3 linked regions of the Schizosaccharomyces pombe genome follow. The protein of the gene in region 1 binds, or shares a complex with, the protein of each later gene. Each region holds a gene or a part of one and is shown in the gene's direction. Other genes may lie near its edges.

The links. The genes of interacting proteins can lie anywhere in the genome.
Region 2: arp42 (region 1) and snf21 share a complex: the UniProt entries of both Schizosaccharomyces pombe proteins name them as parts of the RSC complex.
Region 3: arp42 (region 1) and snf59 share a complex: the UniProt entries of both Schizosaccharomyces pombe proteins name them as parts of the SWI/SNF global transcription activator complex.

What each region holds. Positions count from the first base shown.
Region 1 is NC_003424.3:4,350,560-4,358,678, reverse strand, and holds arp42 (SWI/SNF and RSC complex subunit Arp42), read left to right. Parts: upstream 1-3,418; 5' UTR 3,419-3,502; coding exon 3,503-3,506; exon of another isoform or gene 3,507-3,582; coding exon 3,583-4,853; 3' UTR 4,854-5,101; coding exon of another isoform or gene 5,102-5,269; 3' UTR 5,270-5,319; coding exon of another isoform or gene 5,320-6,165; 3' UTR 6,166-6,346; downstream 6,347-8,119. Other genes in the region: cell wall and ascospore endo-1,3-beta-glucanase Eng2, read left to right, coding at 856-2,976; U1 snRNP-associated protein Usp108, read right to left, coding at 5,102-5,269, 5,320-6,165; pup1 (proteasome core particle subunit beta 2), read right to left, coding at 6,745-7,352, 7,401-7,546, 7,612-7,661; nucleoporin, WD repeat Nup146, read left to right, coding at 8,059-8,119. UniProt on the Schizosaccharomyces pombe protein: Component of the chromatin structure remodeling complex (RSC), which is involved in transcription regulation and nucleosome positioning. Controls particularly membrane and organelle development genes.
Region 2 is NC_003424.3:5,098,165-5,105,907, reverse strand, and holds snf21 (RSC-type complex ATPase Snf21), read left to right. Parts: upstream 1-1,730; 5' UTR 1,731-1,891; coding exon 1,892-1,942; exon of another isoform or gene 1,943-1,983; coding exon 1,984-5,532; 3' UTR 5,533-5,760; downstream 5,761-7,743. Other genes in the region: elongator complex histone acetyltransferase subunit Elp3, read left to right, coding at 1-1,207, 1,303-1,384; protein mug95, read left to right, coding at 5,922-6,310, 6,396-6,543; ubiquitin conjugating enzyme Ubc14, read left to right, coding at 7,092-7,133, 7,195-7,401, 7,503-7,721; TFIIIC subunit Sfc7, read left to right, coding at 7,696-7,743. UniProt on the Schizosaccharomyces pombe protein: Helicase. Component of the chromatin structure remodeling complex (RSC), which is involved in transcription regulation and nucleosome positioning. Controls particularly membrane and organelle development genes.
Region 3 is NC_003423.3:3,966,316-3,972,526, reverse strand, and holds snf59 (SWI/SNF complex subunit Snf59), read left to right. Parts: upstream 1-1,782; 5' UTR 1,783-2,423; coding exon 2,424-3,971; 3' UTR 3,972-4,228; downstream 4,229-6,211. Other genes in the region: 3'-5' exoribonuclease subunit Dis3, read right to left, coding at 1-1,201, 1,366-1,558; GTPase Grn1, read left to right, coding at 4,372-4,384, 4,428-5,827. UniProt on the Schizosaccharomyces pombe protein: Component of the SWI/SNF complex, an ATP-dependent chromatin remodeling complex, which is required for the positive and negative regulation of gene expression of a large number of genes.

The sequences.
Region 1 (8,119 bases):
TAGGATAGTTTACAAAAAAGAAACAAGAACGAGAATGAATGAAAGAGTTTTGTTGTTGAATGGTGTTTTAATGAAATTTTGGCATTAACTGTGTTTAGAGCTTATAATCAGTGTTTGCGATCATTTTTTTTAAGCTTGCTTTTCATTTATCCTTCTTTTTATTTATTTTTATTTTTCTTTTCATTTACATTGGCTTTTTCTTTTTTTTATTTGTTTTCCAATTATTTACTATTGTTTGGCATTACTAAAAAATGTTTTGCTTACAATATCGCATTAAATTAAATCAAACAAAAACTTGCAGTATGTAAAATCAATAAATAAATATACAAAGGTTTATGCAGTATTTGCATTAATCTATTAAGTTACTTGTAAAGTTTTAATATGTTTCTTTTGTTTTTTGTTTAGATCTAATATTATAGCTTAGTCGTTGAACCAATGATACCATGAGATGGGGTTTATATCAGTTTTGAGTAGAATTTGCAACCTGTCCTCACCCTCTATCGGGTTTTAATAGTGAAAGTAATAACTACTGTTTTTAACAGTTTTTCTTCAGTACTTTTGCGTGAATTCATAAATATTTTAGGACCGGTGAATTTCTCAGCGCAGTGCTTTTATCCGTCTTTACTGTTACTTTCGCTAAGTTATTTAAGACAAATAATTGAGTGTTGTTTCATTTTTTAGTTAGTTCCAAATTTTTGAGGTGGCATACTCCTAAAACTCTCGTTAGTGTAAAACCCGTCATCGACAGTTCGAAAAAGCATCCGAAATTAGACTTTTAGAAATTTTGCTTCGATCCTTTCTTATTCTTTCACTCGTTATCAAATTTTTTTGCTCAATTCATAGTCAGACGACATAATGGATGTTTTAGTACCAATCTATACTGGACCTATCAATCCGGTTTTTCCATCAAGAGCACACCCATCTCCTCCTCTTGGGCTAACAAGTAATTTGTTTCCAATTCAAACAAACAAGTTTTATGGTAACTTGTACATTGGCACCCGTCATAATCCATCATGGTCACATCCTTACTCAGTAACTTGGCTCAATGGTAGCAGCTATTATGGACTTGCGATTTCACATATTGATGATAGCCAACGCGTGTTTGGACCAGACCCAGAATCGGTTCCATGCCAATATTACTTTAATCCTGCTGGACTTTATTCCATAATCATTTCTGCACGAGAATTTGCTTCGGGTAACCTCTTATCCCTTGACCAATCTCGTCATTTCTCTATCCAGGCTACTCTTAGCGCTACAACCTCTGGTTCAGGGACTATAATCCTACCCATTGTTGCTGGCATGGGATTTGTAAGTGGTTATTATACCAATTTGACTCCTGTATTCAATTCCTCCATCCTTTTCTCATCAATTACTAAAATAAATTTCAGTAGGGGCTACAAATATAGAATTCAATTGACAGATGGAAAGATCTGGTTTCTCTACGCATTTCCTACGAGTTCGAGCAGTACCTTCAATTTGACTCTTGCTTCGAATTCTCAACTAACTACTTCTACAAAATTTACCGGTCTCATACAAATATGTAAAGTTCCAAACGAAAGCGTGAATAATTCATATCCGGATACCATCTATGATGCTTCTGCTGGTGTATATACTACGTCTATTTCTCTATCAGCTCAAGTTAGCGGTACCACCGGGGAATATTGGTTTCGTTTCGCTACAGCTGGATATACTAACTTAAATCCGCTAATGTTTGCTCTTCCCCATCATATGCAAAGTTTTGGTTCTGACACTCAAGCGTACAAAACAGGTTTAGGCTTAGCCAGTACAACAATGGGTATAATGTTTGCCTATGCTACTAAAACTTGGCATTTAATCGAAAAAAATCTTCCAACGCAGGTAGGTTTTTTACCAATTCCTTGGAATGGTGGAAGCAATACGTATTCTCCTACTGCTTTAGCCGCGATTCGTGCAGCTTGTGCAACTGATATTAACTTCGATGTCGTAAATGCCAGTAACCTTGACTCAATGTACACGTCTGGAAAAATAGTAGCCATGTATGCTCAAGTTTGTTTGGTAGCTTCTAGAATCCTTGGTGATAGCACTCTCACTAACACTGGATTGACAAAATTGAAGCAAGCCATGGCTAGATTTACTACGAATACGCAAATGTATCCCCTCGTTTATGATACCACATATAAAGGTATCATCAGTACGGCAGGATATAGTTCTCCTTTAGCAGATTATGGTAATACCTACTATAATGACCATCATTTTCACTGGGGTTATCATATTTACGCATGTGCGGTAATTGGTCTATTGGATCCTTCCTGGCTGGTTAATGATAACATTCGCTATGTAAATGCTTTATTAAGAGACAGTGCAAATCCAAGTGAAAGTGACACCTATTTTGCTATGTTTAGAAACTTCGACTGGTTTGTTGGACATTCATGGGCAACAGGTATATTTGAAAGTGGAGACGGTAAAGATGAAGAGTCAACCTCAGAAGACTTCAACTTTCTGTATGCAACGAAATTGTGGGGTATGGTGAGAAATGATACTGTTCTTATCAACCGTGCAAACTTGATGCTCGCCGTCCTAAAGAACAGTTTAAATACCTACATATACATGACACCCACTACTTCAGTACAGCCTTCACAAATTCTCGGCAATTACGTGACAGGAATTACATTCATGAACAAAGTTGATTATGCAACTTACTTTTCAGCTGAAGAATATTGTAAACAAGGCATTCACATGATTCCAACTACGCCTATCAGCGGATACCTTCGTTCTCCATCTTACGTTCAACAAGACTGGAACGCCAAAATTGCTCCGATAATAAATACATTTTCAAACAATTGGACTGGTATTTTATGGTCCAATTATGCAATTTACGATCCAAAAACTGCATACAATACCTTTGCTGCCAGTACCTTTACTGCTGATAAAATTGATAACGGAGCTAGTAAAACCTGGTACTTAGCTATGGCTGCTGGTATGGGTGGATCACCATGATGGCAAGGGAGCTAATGAAAAACTGAAGCATTACTTTTCGTTTCAAAATTATGTAACCATTTCAAAACAACACATAGAGAGAGCTACCTATTAGCTTTTTAAAACACTATCATTTGTTTTAAAGTTTTAATGAAATACTAATACTATGAAATAGAAAACGTAGCTATTAATGCAAAAAAACTGCTTATTCAAGTTGGCTTACTTCGAAGTTTTCCATAAATATTAAAGACAGAAAATTACTTTTTCGCTTCTGCATTGTTTTAAAACATTAACTAGTTCAATGGCTTAAGAAACAAATAAATGAATATTTCTAAAGTATATGATCAAAAAAGCCGTAAATTGTAGAGTTCACTATTCACGACTACTGAACGCCTTAACACTTTCAACGATGCATTAAATTTCTTTATATAGTATTGCTATCCAACACACGAAACTAAGGTTTACGAGACTAATAATTATATAATTCCTGCATCTACTAAAAGGATATTTTATCCATTTAAAACTATACTAAACTATTTACATAGACATGGGTAAGTGCGGTTAATCAACCATAATATGTGTTGAGACGAAGACAATGGCATGAAATGGCTAATGACCATACTTTAGAGGAAATTCCGTCATTGGTAATAGATCCTGGGAGTTGTTGGACAAGATTTGGTTATGCAGGAGAAGAAAGTCCGATGACTATCTTACCTTCATATTACGGTGTTCGATCTGATGTGACTGGTCGAAATAAATATGTTGTTGATGAGTTACAAATTCATGCTCCTATCCCAGGAATGGAAGTCAAAAACGGAAAAAGTAATGGGATTATACAAGATTGGGAATCTACTTTGTACACGTGGGAGCGTGGACTGAAAGAAAAACTACAGGTAAATCCCACAGAGTATGCTATGATGATTACTGAGCCTAGCTGGAATCCGCAATCTGTTAGACAACAAATCATGGAAGCTGCTTTCGAGCAACTTCATGTTCCTGCTTTTTATTTGACAAAACAAGCTGTTTGCGTGGCATTTGCCAATAGCAAATCTACAGCGCTAATTGTCGATATAGGCTCAGATAATGCTAGCGTTACTCCTGTTGTCGATGGATTGATTATACGCAAAGGAATTTTTAAACAAAGTTTAGCTGGCGACTTTTTGAATGCTAATATTGAGCAATTGTTTAATACTATGAACATAGAATTTCCTCCACACTATAGAATTGCTAGAAAATCGGTTGCCATTCAACAATCAGGTAATATGGCTAACGGCAGCGCAGATGCCGTGAAACCAGCTGTACTGTATCCACCTATTCAAGATCTTACCTCTTCTTACGAAATTTTTCAGAAGCGTAGGGTCATAGAAGAATGGAAAGAAAGCGTTTTAGATGTTTTGGATACCCCGTTTGATGAAGCAAAAGCATCCTCTAGAAACCCTAAGCCTTTTGAATTTCCGGATGGGGTTACACATAAGTTTGGTCAAGAGAGGTTTCGCATTAGTGAAATACTCTTTAATCCCTCGTTTTCAGCCAGCAGAAGTGCTGAAACAACGCCTCCACAGGGTTCCGTGGGTCTTCATGAACTTGTTTATCAATCCATCCTTGCTTGCGACTCTGAATTACGTTCTCCTCTATTGAACAACATTGTAGTTACCGGAGGAACTTCCTTAATACCTGGATTATCAGAAAGGTTACAAGCTGAGGTTCAGCGGTTGGCTACTGGAAGTCGCATCAATGTTCATACCGCAGAAACCGCTTCTGCCACAAGCAACGCCGTTTGGTTTGGTGGCTCAATTCTTGCTAGTTTGGATAATTTTCAACATTTGTGGGTATCTAAGCAAGAGTACGATGAAGTAGGTGTTGACAGAGCTTTGTTTGTTGAGAAAAGATGCAAGTAATCCGCCTGTGTTATTTGCTCACAAAAAATAAAGTCTTCAAAACCCAAGAGAGTATAAAATAAATTTACGAAATCTCGCATAACACGTCCATAATTCTTTCTTTTTTGCTGAGCTTTATCAACGTTGTATATAACAAAATCAAATACCCAAAGTGCTTCGAATTAATTATTAAATCTAATTTAACATAAATGTATGAAACAATTCTAATTTCAAGCAAAATTGTCAGAAACATTCTAAAGCTTTTTTTTTTACTTTCTGCCTAACGATATAAGAGCAGCATAAAGTTGCATTAAAGCAGATTGATTAGCTTCCGAGGTACCAACAACCGAAATAAACTTCTCATTGCTGTTTGAGTCTGATTCCTCAACAGTTATGTTAGCATTTGTATTCTGAGATATTTCCATCAGTTTATGAGGCTAGAACAATATAGTTAGTATACTTATCTGAAATATTTATAAGAGCTTACCATAGCGTGATAAAGTTGATCGAGTAAAGAAGATGGAACGGACATTTTCTGAGATACGACTTGGGTTGCAGCTATATTTAAAGGAATCGAGGGTCCAGAGTGAGGAAATACTTGAGTGGTTCGAAGGGGATCAGGATTTCCTCCGGCACTAGTGAGAGCTATAGGAGGGATTCCATAAGGGTTTTCAGGTGTTACCATACTACTCATATGATTAAATTGTGTAAAAGTAGAAGGCGAACCATATATGCCATATGCAGCATCTGGAATGTAAGGTACAACGCTAACGCGGGGAATGAAAGAAATTCTTGAAAGGATGTATTTTAATAAAGTTTCAATAACAACTGAAGCATCTATTTCATTAGTTTCCAAGGTAACCAGTCTTTCAGAGGATCTGGGTAGGAGAGATGCTGAGTATAAAAGCTTGGTTGAATTGGAAACAGAAAACAAAGAAGGAATTAAGTTCTGGTGAATCAGAACTTTTGAACCCAATATTAAAGATGATACTGCTAAATTGATGTTCAAGGAAGCGTCTTCTTCTTTAGTAGGAGTGACAACTTTTATAAGTGCAGGTATACTAGAAGCAAGGTTTGAAACACTTGAAGTGCATATGAATATCTTTCTAGCAGTATTTGAAGAAGAGTATGTCTCTACACGAACTTGGCCATTTTTTAATATTTCCTGTTGAATATCCTGCGGTAACAAATTCCATTCTTGGACTTGCTGAGCAGTTAACACTAATCGAACGCGACATTCATTTTCATTGTCTCCAAAAGTTTGGGCAGCTGTTAAAACGGGAGGTCGAAGAATGTCCGCTGAAATTGAAACCACTGATGTACCAGAGTCCATATTGGATATCTCTTAGTTGGCAATTTGGATATTGCTGCATACAACGGTGTTCCATCTACGTAGGAAGAAGTGCGTTATTCTTCGCTATGCAATCAATTTTTTGAAATATAGAAATCTACAAGTTTTCATATTATTTTATGCTTTCACAATTGATAACAGTTATAATTATTGATTTATCACAGTTGGTTATTGTAAAGAGTATGCATATAAGCAACACTAACAAACGATGGACTCGGTTTAAACCAACGAACTCGCACAGTTTCAAAACTGAAACGAAGTAGATATGTATCGCTCACTTAGTAATTAGATTATTGAGGTTTGATGATCTCATATTTGTCATTACATGGTAGGCTTTTTACCAACAAACGTAACAATTTTATCTATTTACTCAGACGAAAGTTTAAGAAATGCGTTGCCGTAAGGAGAGTAGTAAAAATAGTTTTCTATAATAATCAAATTTTGTGAAGCATCAGAAAAACTTTATTTAAATCTCAAATAGAACATAAAAACGATAATCAGCGAGAGGAGCTGCAACATATAGGTATCATGGCCTTATAGTAAGCCTTATAGATGCAAAATCTATACATCAACTTGCATTTCATCAAGATCTTGAACAGTTACGAACTTGTAAATGTCCTCTTTCAGAACTGCAGTGGTGCCGCGATCATAGGTGTACTTAGATTGTTTTGTTGCACGTTCATTAGGTTTGGAATAACCTCTGTATGGCGTAGCTTTTTCCTCATCGATAACTACTAAATCACAATTGGAACCAGATCCTAGATCGTTAAAAATACCAGCCTCAATGGCTTCCTTAACAAGCTCCATAGCTTCATGTCGTTCTAAGTCTGGTTGATATTTAGTTTCTAAAACAGAAATTGCTGCAAGACTTCCGGATCCTAATGCAACATAAGGCAACTTATCACTTGAGCCATGTGCGGCAATGGTAAACAAATGTGGACCTTTACAATCATAACCACCTAACACAAGGTAAGCACCAATATGTCCTTGATAACGAAAGAGATGTTGCTTTAGCATTGTCAAAGCAGTAACAACTCTTGGTTTACGGTTCGTGTAAAGAGAGTGCAATTCTATATTAGAGGAAATCATTGATGTAACAAATTCCGTATCTGCTGCAGTTCCTGCACCAGCACACCAAATATTGGGAGAAATTAAATGAAGTTTTTTACCTTCTAAGGTCAGAAAAAGCCTTATGCTTATAAATAAATGCAACTTACAATTTTTGTCAGCAATGATGGGCCCAGCTGTAGCACGAGTATCAGCACCTAGGACAATACAATCTTTGGCAATGACACCAACGATAGTAGTTCCTGTTGATGTAGCCTTTGGAGTTGGGAACCCTTTTTCCTGCAAAAGCAAATTTCTATTGTGAGTCGTTAATATACTACTCTGGCTTCTCACTTTCAAGTCTATAACTTTTGACCTTACCTTTGATAGTATTCAAAATCAAAACCTTTTCTTTCATTTATTCCCATCATTGCGTCTATGAATTCAATTTACTTAATCGACAATGTAGTAGGCAGTGGATACCAGGATTACACATTCCTCTGACTAACTTAGAAATACCAATCTAGGATATGGTGCGTTAAAACTGTTAGTGCAGTGTAGTAAAATAATTTATAAAAAAGAATGTGATACAAAACACCAGCGACGTGTATAGCACTTGTAAAGGTGGTTTTTTCTTCTACGTTGTATGTCTATTTGTTGGACTGCAAGTGTTGTGTTATAATTTCATACTTGTATCTATATTTTATTTTGTAATATTTAATTTGCTAAATATCACAAATTACTTATGCACAAGTGAACGTTGGCCGTGCAATTCGTCATTTAGCTGGCAACTGAATCGAATATTTTAATAGACTACAGAAGAAAAACATGAATGCTGAAAATACTTTCTCCATCTTAAATACTAATGAACCTAATGCGGGTGGCTCAC
Region 2 (7,743 bases), 750 kb from region 1:
ATTTTGAATACTCGACACAGTCGTACACTGGTTATGAACCAACTAGTATGCGTGCGATTCGCGCTCGTTATGATCCTTATGAACAGGCTAGAGGACGTGTTGAGCAACTGCGGTCGTTAGGCCACACAGTCGATAAAGTAGAATACATTATCATGGGCGGTACCTTCATGTCATTACCTGAATCCTACCGTCACACATTTATTGCTAATTTACACAATGCTCTTTCAGGAGCTACGACTGAAGATTTAGATGAAGCAGTCAAATTTTCTGAGCAATCTGAGACAAAATGTGTTGGCATTACTATTGAGACGCGTCCTGATTATTGCCTAGACCAACATTTGGATGAAATGCTTCGTTACGGATGTACTCGTTTGGAAATTGGTGTCCAAAGTGTTTACGAGGATGTCGCCAGAGACACCAATAGAGGACATACTGTTAAAGCTGTGTGCGAAACATTCCAGTTGGCTAAGGATACTGGATACAAGGTGGTTACGCATATGATGCCTGATTTGCCTAATGTTGGTATGGAAAGAGATATATTCCAATTTCAAGAGTACTTTGAAAACCCTGCATTCCGTACTGATGGTTTAAAGCTCTATCCTACATTAGTTATTCGTGGTACTGGTTTATATGAATTATGGAAAACGGGAAGATATAAAAACTATACCCCCAATGCCTTGGTGGATCTTATTGCTAGAATTCTCGCTTTGGTACCTCCATGGACCCGTATTTACCGTATTCAAAGAGATATCCCAATGCCGCTTGTAAGTTCAGGCGTAGAAACAGGAAATCTCAGAGAACTTGCTTTAAATAGAATGCGAGATTTAGGCACAAAGTGTCGAGACATTCGTGCTCGTGAAGTAGGTATGCAAGAAGTGCATCATAAAATTCATCCTGAGCAAGTTGAATTACTTCGCCGAGACTATACTGCTAATGGCGGATGGGAAACGTTTTTATCATATGAAGATCCCAAACAAGATATCTTGATTGGTTTGTTACGACTTCGCCAATGTTCCGATAAGACATATCGACCAGAATTTACTTCTCAGCCTACCTCACTTGTTCGCGAACTTCACGTGTATGGCAGTGCCGTTCCTGTTCACAGTAGAGATCCGAAGAAGTTCCAACATCAAGGTTTTGGAACATTACTTTTAGAAGAAGCCGAGCGGATAGCTAAGTATGAGCATGGTAGTAAAAAGATCAGTGTGTAAGTTGTCTTTAAACTCTTCAAATGGACTTCAAATTTTGACCTTCTGAAGACTTAATCCTTATTTTTTTTTTACTTTACTAACATTACTTTAGAATTTCGGGTGTTGGCGTTCGAAAATATTATCAAAAATTGGGATACACATTGGATGGTCCTTACATGTCTAAATGGCTTTAGCCTCTAATATAATTTTAAGACTACTTAAGTTTGTATAAAATATCATTTTTGGTTGGGTGTGTTAAAATCTTTAATATTAACTCAGTTCGCAAGTTTTTTGAGTTGTCGATTTGGGATGTGTGCAATTTCATATACTATTTAATTTCGTGTATAAAAAGAGAAAAGTGTTTAATTACTTTCCTCTTTATTAGATGAAATCTGAGGTGTAGTTAGACATATATATGTACCATTCTTTACTAATATTCATATTTTTTTGCGTTCTCTTTAGACAACCTTATTTAGAATAACGATAAGACTGATGCCCTGTTTGCCACAATGGAGGGTTGGAAGTGCAGTATGCCTTTCCAACAACCTAGCGTTTAACGATTTGCAAGAATTGGCAAGTAAGCACTTTTTACTAAGGGCGTACAATCACTTTTGTGATAGAATTTTGTTTGTTTTTTATTTCAATAATAACGACCTGGAAATCGTCTATTTATGTGGTAATTTGGATTTTTGATCACAAATATGCGTGCAGAGAAGCAATACACGAGAAATGAAGTGGAAGAAACAATTGTGGTAAGTGTTGTAGGGACCTAAGGAGTTAACTGTTTTTTTAGCGATGGAAGAAATTGAAAGAGTCTGGCGCTACTGAGCACGATAATACGGAATATGCTCAATTGTGTGATGTTTTGCGATCAGCACAGTCAGAAATTGAAGCACGGAGGGATTTAAAAGGACACATTAAAAGGTGTTTCTCTTCCGTAGATAAGAATACGGAGAAACTGATTTTGAAACAACAAGTTTTGGCTTACAAAAAGCTTTCTCAAAATCTTCCAGCACCCGACGACTGTATACTATCTGTGTTACTTAGGCTTTCCAAAGATGAGCAATTGCTTCAGAGTATAGTTAAACAGCCTTTACAGAACTCTAAAGTCGATGGGAAGGTGCGACGCGATTTTGGCTCTTGTCAAATAACACCATCAGCAAAGCAGCAAAGAAAATACTTGCAATATCAAATTTCGGAAGATGATGCTATAAAGAATAGGATGTTCCGACGAATGTCGGATTTGGAAAGCTATCCGGCTGTGATGCGGGATGTTGCAGAATTAAAAGATGACAACGAACGTTTAAACTTGGATACTATCAAACGTAATGCGCTAGTTGAATTGAAGAAATTACGACTCATCAAACAGCAAGAATCTCTTCGCCATCAAGTGATGCATTGCCAACCGCATTTACGTACCATAGTTAATGCCGTAGAACGCATGTCATGCCGCCGTCCTAAGCTAGTTCCTCAAGCTACACGCCTGACTGAAGTATTAGAGCGCCAGCAAAGAAGTGATCGCGAAAGAAGGTTAAAGCAAAAACAGTGCGATTATCTGCAAACTGTATGTGCCCATGGTCGAGAGATTAATGTCCGAACCAAGAATGCTCAGGCAAGGGCTCAGAAAGCGAATCGCGCTGTATTGGCGTATCATTCGCATATCGAAAAAGAAGAACAGCGTCGTGCTGAACGCAATGCAAAGCAAAGATTACAAGCCTTGAAGGAGAATGATGAGGAGGCCTACTTGAAACTTATTGATCAAGCGAAGGATACAAGAATTACTCATTTATTACGGCAAACTGATCATTACTTGGATTCCTTGGCGGCTGCTGTTAAAGTACAACAGTCTCAATTTGGTGAATCGGCCTATGACGAAGATATGGATCGCCGAATGAATCCTGAAGACGATAGAAAGATTGATTATTATAATGTTGCTCATAATATTCGTGAAGTCGTCACTGAACAGCCTTCTATTTTAGTAGGAGGAAAGCTGAAGGAATATCAACTACGTGGTTTGCAATGGATGATTTCACTGTATAATAATCATTTGAACGGTATTCTTGCTGATGAAATGGGCTTAGGTAAAACTATTCAGACAATCTCTCTTATTACCCACTTAATCGAGAAAAAACGGCAGAATGGGCCATTTTTGGTAATTGTTCCTTTATCGACCTTAACAAATTGGACCATGGAATTTGAAAGATGGGCGCCATCAATTGTAAAGATTGTTTACAAAGGACCTCCACAAGTTCGAAAAGCTTTGCATCCTCAAGTTCGTCACTCTAATTTCCAAGTTCTTTTGACGACATACGAGTATATCATAAAAGATCGACCACTTTTAAGTCGTATTAAATGGATTTATATGATCATTGATGAAGGACATCGTATGAAAAACACACAATCCAAGTTAACAAATACTTTAACTACCTATTATTCATCACGTTATCGTCTTATCCTTACAGGAACTCCTTTACAAAACAATCTTCCGGAACTTTGGGCTTTGCTTAATTTTGTATTACCACGGATTTTTAATTCCATTAAAAGTTTTGATGAGTGGTTCAATACTCCTTTTGCTAATACAGGCGGGCAGGATAAGATGGAACTTACAGAAGAAGAATCTTTGCTTGTCATTCGCCGTCTTCACAAGGTCTTACGTCCTTTTCTTTTGCGACGTCTTAAAAAGGATGTTGAAGCCGAGCTTCCTGATAAAGTTGAGAAGGTTATTCGTTGTCAGATGTCGGGGCTTCAGCAAAAGCTCTATTATCAAATGAAGAAGCATGGAATGTTGTATGTGGAAGATGCTAAACGCGGTAAAACTGGTATCAAAGGCTTACAGAATACGGTCATGCAGTTGAAGAAAATCTGTAATCATCCTTTTGTGTTTGAAGACGTGGAACGTTCAATTGATCCAACAGGATTTAACTATGATATGTTGTGGAGAGTTTCTGGCAAATTCGAACTGTTAGACCGTATTTTGCCTAAACTGTTTCGTTCTGGTCATCGTATATTAATGTTTTTCCAAATGACTCAAATTATGAATATCATGGAGGATTACCTGCATTATCGTCAGTGGAGATATCTGCGGCTTGATGGGTCTACCAAAGCTGATGATCGTTCAAAGTTATTGGGAGTATTTAATGATCCGACTGCTGAAGTAAATTTGTTTTTGTTAAGTACTCGTGCTGGTGGACTTGGGCTTAATCTTCAAACTGCTGATACTGTAATAATTTTCGACTCGGATTGGAACCCACATCAAGATTTGCAGGCACAAGATCGTGCTCATCGTATTGGACAAACCAAAGAGGTTAGAATTTATCGACTGATTACTGAAAAATCGGTAGAGGAAAACATTCTTGCTAGAGCCCAATATAAATTGGACATTGATGGCAAAGTTATTCAAGCAGGAAAATTTGACAACAAGTCAACACCAGAGGAACGTGAGGCGTTTTTGCGTTCGCTCTTGGAGAACGAAAACGGTGAAGAAGAAAATGATGAGAAGGGCGAGTTAGATGACGATGAACTCAATGAGATACTTGCCCGAGGTGACGATGAGTTGCGACTTTTCAAACAAATGACTGAAGATTTGGAGAGGGAATCGCCATATGGTAAGAATAAAGAAAAAGAAAGACTCATCCAAGTAAGTGAGCTTCCTGAATTTTACCAAAGGGAAGAACCTGAGAAAACCACCGACTTGTTGCAGGAAGAACCACTCGGTAGAGGAGCCCGCAGACGTACCCCAGTTGTATATGACGAAGCAGTACGAGATGCTCAGTGGATGGCAGAAATGGATATGGAATCTGAAGCTCGTCCAACTCGTGGTCGCCCAAAGCGTAATATAGCGAGTGTTGACGAAACACCTGCTCTTACACTCAATGGAAAGCCAAAGAAGAAACGTGGACCGGCTCCGGATACACTTACTTCAGAGCACCGTTCGCTACTTCGTCGTGTGTGCCTTGAAATATACAAGGCCGTTAATGAGCTTGAAGATGATAATGGTCGTCCTCTGAATAAACTATTTTTGGAGCTTCCTAGTAAGAAGTTATATCCTGATTATTACATGATAATTAAATCCCCTATCGCACTTGATGCAATTAGAAAGCATATCAATGGCACTTTCTATAAAACTTTAGAAGCTATGAAATCGGATCTTATGACAATGTTTAATAATGCTAGGACGTATAATGAGGAAGGTTCTTTTGTCTATGAAGATGCGAACAAAATGCAAACGGCTATGGAAACCAAAATTGAAGAACTGGAAGAGGATGGCACATTAGCAACGCTTCGCGGAATGGAGGCGGAGGCTACATCGCAATTGGAAGACAGAATTGAAAATGAGGCTTGATTAATTGCTTTTTTTGAACTACTATAGATGCAAGTGCTGAAGTCTCATAAAAACACAGATTGTCTTTTTTTTGTTTTTTTTTGCATCTTGAATGTATTCAGTAATTAGTTTTTTGTGAGATAGAGGATGGGGTGTTCATAGAATCTGTATATTATTATATATATATGCATTACCGAGATTGATTTCTTAAATTAATATGCTCAATTTAAAATATATTGAAAATTTTTGTGTCAATGGATTTATAAATTCTGAATATGATAGCGCTGTATTGGCAACACTAGCTCAGATGATAAATGTACTTCTTTGGAAAAAAAGCGAAATGAGTAAATACCTCTATTTGTATATTTGCTAGTGTTTTGAATTACATGGAAGTTGCATAATTATCTCCGATGAACTTGTTTGTTTACATAGCACAGAATCCTACATTAACCAAATGGTTTTTTTGTTGTGTATGTACTATTCTTACAATGCCATTTTTTAAAAAGCCGTATAGGAAAAGGGGAATATCGAGAACGCCATATGAATGGCTTACCTATGCTGATAAATGTGTTATTGAACTTAGCAAGTCCGAATTGAAGCCCAATGAAGAAAAAGAATTACCAAAGGACATTAAAGAAGACTGCAAAACCGTAGAAGAGAAGGAAAAGGTCGTTCCAAGGAAGCCACTGCAATCTGAAGGGATTAATGAAGACGATTCCCAAAAAAATGGAGAATTAATTGTCTTGCATGGGATTAATCACCAAGCTGCGATGTTGACAGCTTGCGGTCTTTTCATGGTGTAAGTTACGACGAAAATAATGAGTGTAAATAAACATTCACAGATGAAAAGCGACGCAAGAAGGAAAATATGCTAATCATGGTAGTACATCTTCTAACACCAACAAATGGAAAATTGCCTTTGCTTCCTTTCTTTTAGGGATGTTTTTCACACAATTTGGCTTCCAAAAAAGTGAACGCAGCATTAATGCTGAAAAGCTAGAAAGCATAGAAAAGCCTGAAAATGACAACTAGGTTGTATTAAGTCGTGCTACGGCACAGACTAGATTGCAAAATTAGCTTTCTCATTAGCAATTAAATTTTTTAAAATAAAGTTAACAGGCTCATAGATGCCTAGTTTCAACTTGAGATGAAAGCCGCTTTCAATTGAAAATCTAGCTTTTCGAAAGTTTAAAGAGCGTCTGAAATGAATGCGTATTCTTCCACTCTATATTTGTTGTAAAAAGAATTAAATTAAATCTCGGCTAGCGACGCTGATTAAATATGTATACAGAAGTACATATTCTATTAAGATTGATTTCAATGTGTAACTATCAGACTCGGATTGCCAAGTTGTTATTGTAAATCCAACCAAAAACTTCAATCAATACAAAAATACTGTCCGTGATATACATCCTAGACTAAGTTGTAAATCACAGCCCAGTAATGTGCCCTATTTTCGCATGATGAATTTATATTTAATGTTAGAATCAATTTTTCCTTAAACAATACAACAATTATTAATTGCCATTAAACGTTCAGTAAAGTCCTCGCATGTAGTTACTGCTCTCTACCCTTACCAAATGGCGTCTGCATCACCTTCATCTTCCAGAAGACTGACAAAAGTAAGTAAATTTTTATATTTTTACTTTATTCTTACATAGCTAATATTCAAATGGTAACCAGGAATATTCTGACTTGCGAGAACACCCTATTCCAGATATTCGAGTTAACCTAGTTGACGACAATCTATTTCACTGGGCTTGTACAGCTCTTGGTCCATCGGATTCGGTGTACGCAGGGGGAAAATTTCATTTCTCATTAAAATTTCCTTTGGACTATCCATTTCAGCCTCCTACTATTGAGTTTACTACCAGAATATACCATCCAAATGTAAGCATTTTATCGTATTTCTGTATGGAGTAATCATTGATCACATTTTTAAACGAGATACATAATTATTTATATATTTATGAATTTTCTAACCTGTTTAGTTTGACTCTGAAGGAAACGTTTGTTTGGCCATTTTGAAACAACAAGTTTTCAAACCCAGCATCAAACTGAGGAGTGTTTTGGAGCAAATTTTGCAACTTCTTAGGGAACCTAATCCTGACGATCCTCTTGTAGCTTCCATCGCTGAACAATATCGAAACGATCGCCCTTCGTTTGACAAAATTGCTAGGGATTATGTCGAGCAATTCGCCAAGTCTTGAAACTGACGTTGATGACGTTGAA
Region 3 (6,211 bases), on another chromosome or scaffold:
CGGTGCTGAACATCATATTCAAGAAGAAGAGCTTCAGTTTCAGCTTCCTTGGTTTCCATTTCTCCAAGATCTCGAACAAAATGACCTTCTGGATAACGACTAGAAGCATCCCATAAGTCTATAGCTACTACAATACGACGACCTACAAGTCTAGGCGCTTGCCTTGTTCGAAATCGAATCTTAGGTACTCGCCTATCCATAGGTGTTAGCAAAACTGTTTGCTGAGAACCGCCTTTTGACTGGGCAATAGTAGCATTATCAACATGGCCAACGTATGGGCGCCAATTCCTTTTTAAAATACCAACCACCTTAGCGGTTGGATGAGCATTTCTTTTCGTAATCAGTTCCAAGTCATTTATTCTGGCCGAATCGGGTTCTGCTGCAGTACTCACAACAACGTCTTCATCATCATCAGCTATCTCTTCAGCTTCCGTTTTCCATTGATCTTGAGGTAATATTTGAATGCAAACGATATCACCTTGCACAGCACGATTTAAATTTTCTCTTCCTGAAACTAGCACGGGCTTGTTGTAACCAGGAACAACAACAGAACCTTCTAAATAATTATAAGTACTAATATTGATAAGTCCTTTATGCACTTCCCCATTTTTTATACAAGCTAACAGCCTAGACATAGACCAATGTAGTTCATATACGTTTTTTGTTCCAGACTCTACCTGCTCTTTAGAAGCAATGGCGTCCGCAATGGCCGACACCATATCCAGTAAAATTTCAGAGTCGGGCAGGTACTGAACGTAGTCTTTCAATGTAGAGACTTGAATACCTTGTTCAGCAGCCAAGCGAGCATTTTCGCGATCATCGGTTAATAAAACAATCTTAATACCTAAGCTGGCCAAATGACTGGCAAACCAACTAGCCGCGTTGCGAATTGCACGATCATTACGGTCATTAGCAGATTCATCATCCAATCTTTCAACGAACGTATCAACAAAAAATTCATTACTAAAAGGGGTAAATCTTTTAGTTTTCTCTTGGCAAAGGCGTTTCATTCTATTGTATAGAGGAATAGATTTTGAAGAAATTTCTGAAAAAACCGTTTGCAGAATAATGACATCGAAAAAATTATTTGGATGTTCTAAGGCATCAATACAATGGTAAAATATATTGGAATCAGGGATTAAATAATGATGCCCAAATTTCTCCAAGAACATGGGCTTCTCTGATAAAATAGGCTCTAACACTATCGTAAGAGTTAATTAAATTTTGCTTCACATTAAAAAAAAATGAAATTGAATAGTAAATGAATTAGTTTCAATAGCTCTCAGAAATTAACTTCACAGAAAATTATACCAACTAATTCCAGACCAATGCAAATTACTCATGTGGGATTCCTTTAATACTTACCATTTCCCCTCGAGTCCTTTGGAAGTTTAGAACGGCAAAGAGGGCAAGCCCGACTTTGACAGGGTATATCATTTCGTAAATATTGCTCACGAACAACTTTTTGAACCTTCCCCCTGGTTGCACGAACAAATACTCTATCTCTGTGATTCTTCTCGGAGCTTTGAGGCCTCTTCAATCCTGAAACAGTGCTCATCCTGTAAATCTTCAGAACACTGAAGATTGCTTTACTAGAAAAGTTTTAGACCCTGGAAAAGCTACTATCACTTACGGCATTCACAACACAACACTACACGTTATTATTTTAACGCAGGATAAAAACTTCTCATATTTCACACACCGAGAACAGACTGGGTCTCGTAATATTTGTAAATAGAGCAAAATTGCAGACAAAACTGAGTATTTGAAGGTTTTTTCTTTAAAACAAAACGCAGTTATTTAAATTTCATTAAAGATTAAGAAAAAATATACCTTTTAAGGTTAATTTTTTGGTTTCCAGTCCACTACTTAATCTAACGTACAAGTTATAAATATGTTTGTAATATTTATTAGCTAATTTTATTTTTTTAAGTAATAAATGATAAAGTTGAAACAATTAAATGTTATTTCAACTGAATTTATAACTCCCACCTAAAATTATGACCCACCAGACTATTGTTTGAATTGGAACTTTACATTAAAAGCAGATAAAAGTTCAAATGGCATACATAACTTCCTTTCAAATTACTTTGTGTGGAAGCAAGCAGCTTCTGATCTTATTACTTTTAGAGTGTTTATTTGAATTTGGAAACGCCAAGCAAAAGTAAATAATTTTGCAAAAGTGTTCAGCTTATGAAATTTTAACAAAGGTTTTCGGTTTTATTAAAATCGTAGAGTAACGTCGAATTTCAGTTTTTCTGCTACGCCTGTTCCACGCTGCGACCCTACCACCGCACATTGTTTAAAATATTTATTGACACTCGTTAAGGTAAAAGACTGTGAAATTAGGTACAAGTCTATAAAATCACGCTTGGTTTTGGAATTGATATTCGTAACATTTTCGTTTGACACCAACTTTTCTTATGGAAGAAGAAGATATCACACTTGAACATTCTGATGACTTAAATAAAGAAGAATCTGGTGAGTCGAATAGGGTGAATATAGAAGAACCTGAACATCATGATAATTCAAATAAAGAATCTACAAATCTTGATGATTTAAACATGTTGGAAGAACCTAAATATCATGATAATTCAAATAAAGAATCTACAAATCTTGATGATTTAAACATGTTGGAAGAACCTGAACATCATGATAATTCAAAAAAAGAATCTACAAATCTTGATGATTCAAATATGTTGGAAGAACCTAAACATCATGATAATTCAAATAAAGAATCTACAAATCTTGATGATTTAAACATGTCGGAAGAACCTAAACATCATGATAGTTCAAATAAAGAATCTACAAATCTTGATAATTCAAATATGGATGAATCTGAAAATCAGAAAAATTTTAAAATTGAAGAACCCAAACCTTCTGGTGATTTTAGAAACGAAGGACCTAAACAGTGTGATGATTCGAAAATTGAAAAACCTGAGCTGCACGTTAATTCAAAAATTGAAGAACCTATACATCGCATTGATTCAGAGCATAATGAACCTGAGTATCACACTGAATCAAAAAATGAAGAGTCTGAACATAATACTAAATCAATCAGGGAGGAACCGATACATCATGTTGATTCAAAAAATGAAGAACCTGTTTACTCCAAAATTCCCGAAAAAATGGGTGATGAATTTTCAGAAAATAGTCTTTCAAAATCTGATTCTGCAGTAAAACAGGAGGGTAATTTGTTGATTCATCCAAATAACAGCCTAAAAGATACCGCACCTTCAAAATGCAAAGAACCTCCAGTTGATGAAGCATTAAGTAAAAAGGAAATTAGTGATGACATTGCTCAAATCACGAGTGTAACCCCCATAACAGAAAAGATTGAGGACAAAGATAAATACATAAGTGAAGTAATTGACACGTATGGCAAACTAGCGGATGGTTTTGAATATCGAGCTAAAACATTTTGCCTAGAAGGACGTGGCAAAGTGTTGTATATGCTTGGTACAGAATGCTCAAGATTACTCGGCTTTAAGGATAGTTACTTCATGTTTCATAAGACGCCATCTTTACGAAAAGTACTTACAACACAAAGTGAGAGGGACCAAATGGTTGAAATGGGTTTGTTGGCATCTAATTTTAGATTTCGACAACTAAGCATTGTTCCAGCTAGACAAATGTTTTTGGCATTCGGTGCTAGAATATTGATGAAGGGAACGATAGATCCAGAGAGTCATAAAGCTCTTATTGAAAAAAACATTAGCTGGGCTGACGATGAGTATTATCATATGGATGTCATGGCTAATGGAAGCACTCGTTCTTCCTCTGTAAAGCTTGAGCTAAAAAGTATGGATAATCAAAATTCACCCTCACCATTTCAAGGTAAGGATATTTTGACGCTTGCTCAGGGTGCTTCTTTTTACAATTCTAAAGTCATGAGGACAAGAAATCTAAGGAAAGAAGCAAGGTTAAGTTATTATACAAAATTACGAGGTGTCAACAGATCTGTTTCATGACTTTATATTAAAAATTATTAATTGCATTGCTGAGCTATCATATTTTCGATCAAGTGGATTTAGGCTAGTTGCTATTGGTTTCTTTAATTTAATCTAAATACATAATATTTTTTACTTTTCTATAACTCTTTTCACAAATACTGAACAACATTTCAAAGATCACTAGCTTTTAAAATACTGAAGCATTGCTAAACTAAGGAAATCTTTCTAAATGTGAATATAAATTACTAATTAGCTTCAACTTTAAAAATAACGAGGTACAATCCAAAATTGTTACATATCGTAAATTAAGTTAATGTACTGTTCCGTACTATAGCATTTGGGGTTAAAAAAGAATAATCGGTAATGTTTTTTCTCTAGACAACCAACTGTAAAATTTGTAACTACAGCATTTTTTACAATGGTTTCCTTAAGTAAGTATATGCACGCGTAACTATTTCTAACTTATTTCTTAAGAAAAAAAGAGTAAAAGAAGAACTACTCGTCTTCGTAGCAGAATTGAAAAGAAAGCTGCAGAGAGCAAACGCAAGCAAAAAAGAGCTGATAAAAAAAATCCGCAATGGAAAAGCAGAATTCCTAAAGATCCAGGTATTCCTAACTCATTCCCCTACAAGGATAAAATTCTTGCTGAGATCGAAGAACAGAAGCGCATTAGAGAAGAAGAAAAATTGGCTCGTCGTGCTTCAGGACAAGTTGATGCTGCAATGGAAGAGGAAGACGCTGTTGATGAAAATGGATCCCTAATGATTTCAAAGATAGCTGAGGCTGCACAAGCGTCTAACCCAGATGATGAGGAAGAGTTTGTGATGGAAGAAGACAACCTTGGAGAGGCCCCTTTATTAGTTGACTCCGAGTCTTATGAGGCATCAGTGAAGGCAGATACCTCTAGAAAGGCATATGATAAGGAGTTCAAAAAAGTTGTTGAAGCGTCAGATGTGATTCTTTACGTTCTTGACGCTCGTGATCCTGAAGGGACTCGTTCAAAAGACGTTGAACGTCAAGTTTTAGCATCTTCTGCTGAAGAAAAGCGTCTTATTTTCGTTATCAACAAAATTGACTTAGTACCATCAGAAGTACTCAACAAGTGGGTTACCTATCTCCGCAATTTCTTTCCTACGATTCCTATGCGTTCCGCTTCAGGATCTGGAAACTCAAATTTAAAGCACCAGTCGGCTTCTGCTAGTTCCACTATCTCCAATCTTCTTAAATCACTCAAGTCTTACTCAGCCAAGAAGAAGCTTAAAAGCTCTCTTACAGTCGGTGTAATTGGATACCCCAACGTTGGTAAATCATCTGTTATTAACGCTCTTGTCAACCGTTCTGCGAATGGTCGTTCTGCACCTTGTCCTGCCGGAAACGTTGCCGGAATGACTACTTCTTTGCGAGAGGTGAAGCTAGATAACAAATTACGTTTGGTCGATAGTCCTGGTATTGTTTTTCCTTCTAGTGATTCTAAAGACGATTTGTATCGTCTTGTAATGCTTAATGCTGTTTCATCCACCAAAGTTGATGATCCCGTTGCCGTTGCTTCTTACATTTTGCAATTCCTTAGCAGAGTTCCAGGACAATTGGAAAGAATGTTTCAAAGATATGAGCTTCCTCCTCTATTGAATACATCCGATATAGACACTGCTACTGATTTTTTAGTCAATATTGCTCGTAAGCGTGGTCGTCTAGGTCGCGGTGGAATTCCAAATCTTAACGCTGCTGCCAATATTGTCATTAATGACTGGCATGCTGGTCGTATCGAATGGTGGGCCGAGCCTGAGGTTATAAACGAAAAGAACTCATCTGAAGTTCAGGATACTCAAATCGTTACTGAGTGGGCCAAAGAATTTGACCTTAATGATTTTTGAGAGTTTTCAACTTACGAAAAAAGCTATTGTTGCTTAGAGCTTATATTTTGGGATTTGGTTTTCGGTTGCGGTTTTTCTTCGGGTTTTAAAAATCTTTAGGTGTTGATGGTTACTAGCTATTACTTTTTGAATTAATATATAAATAATTTTTTTTGCATATATGCCGTATTCTTGAATGTGTTGTTTTACATTTACTTGTAAAAGTAATGTTTGATATGGGAGAAGTTTTAAGTAATAGGTTCGCTAATACGGGAAATTATTAAATCAATGCATGCTGGCTTAAATAAAGTCAATTGAATATGTACGGAAAATGACATTGATACTAACGTGCAGTTATAAGTTTCATTTCATTTTTATATCAATTGATAGGATAAACACAAACAA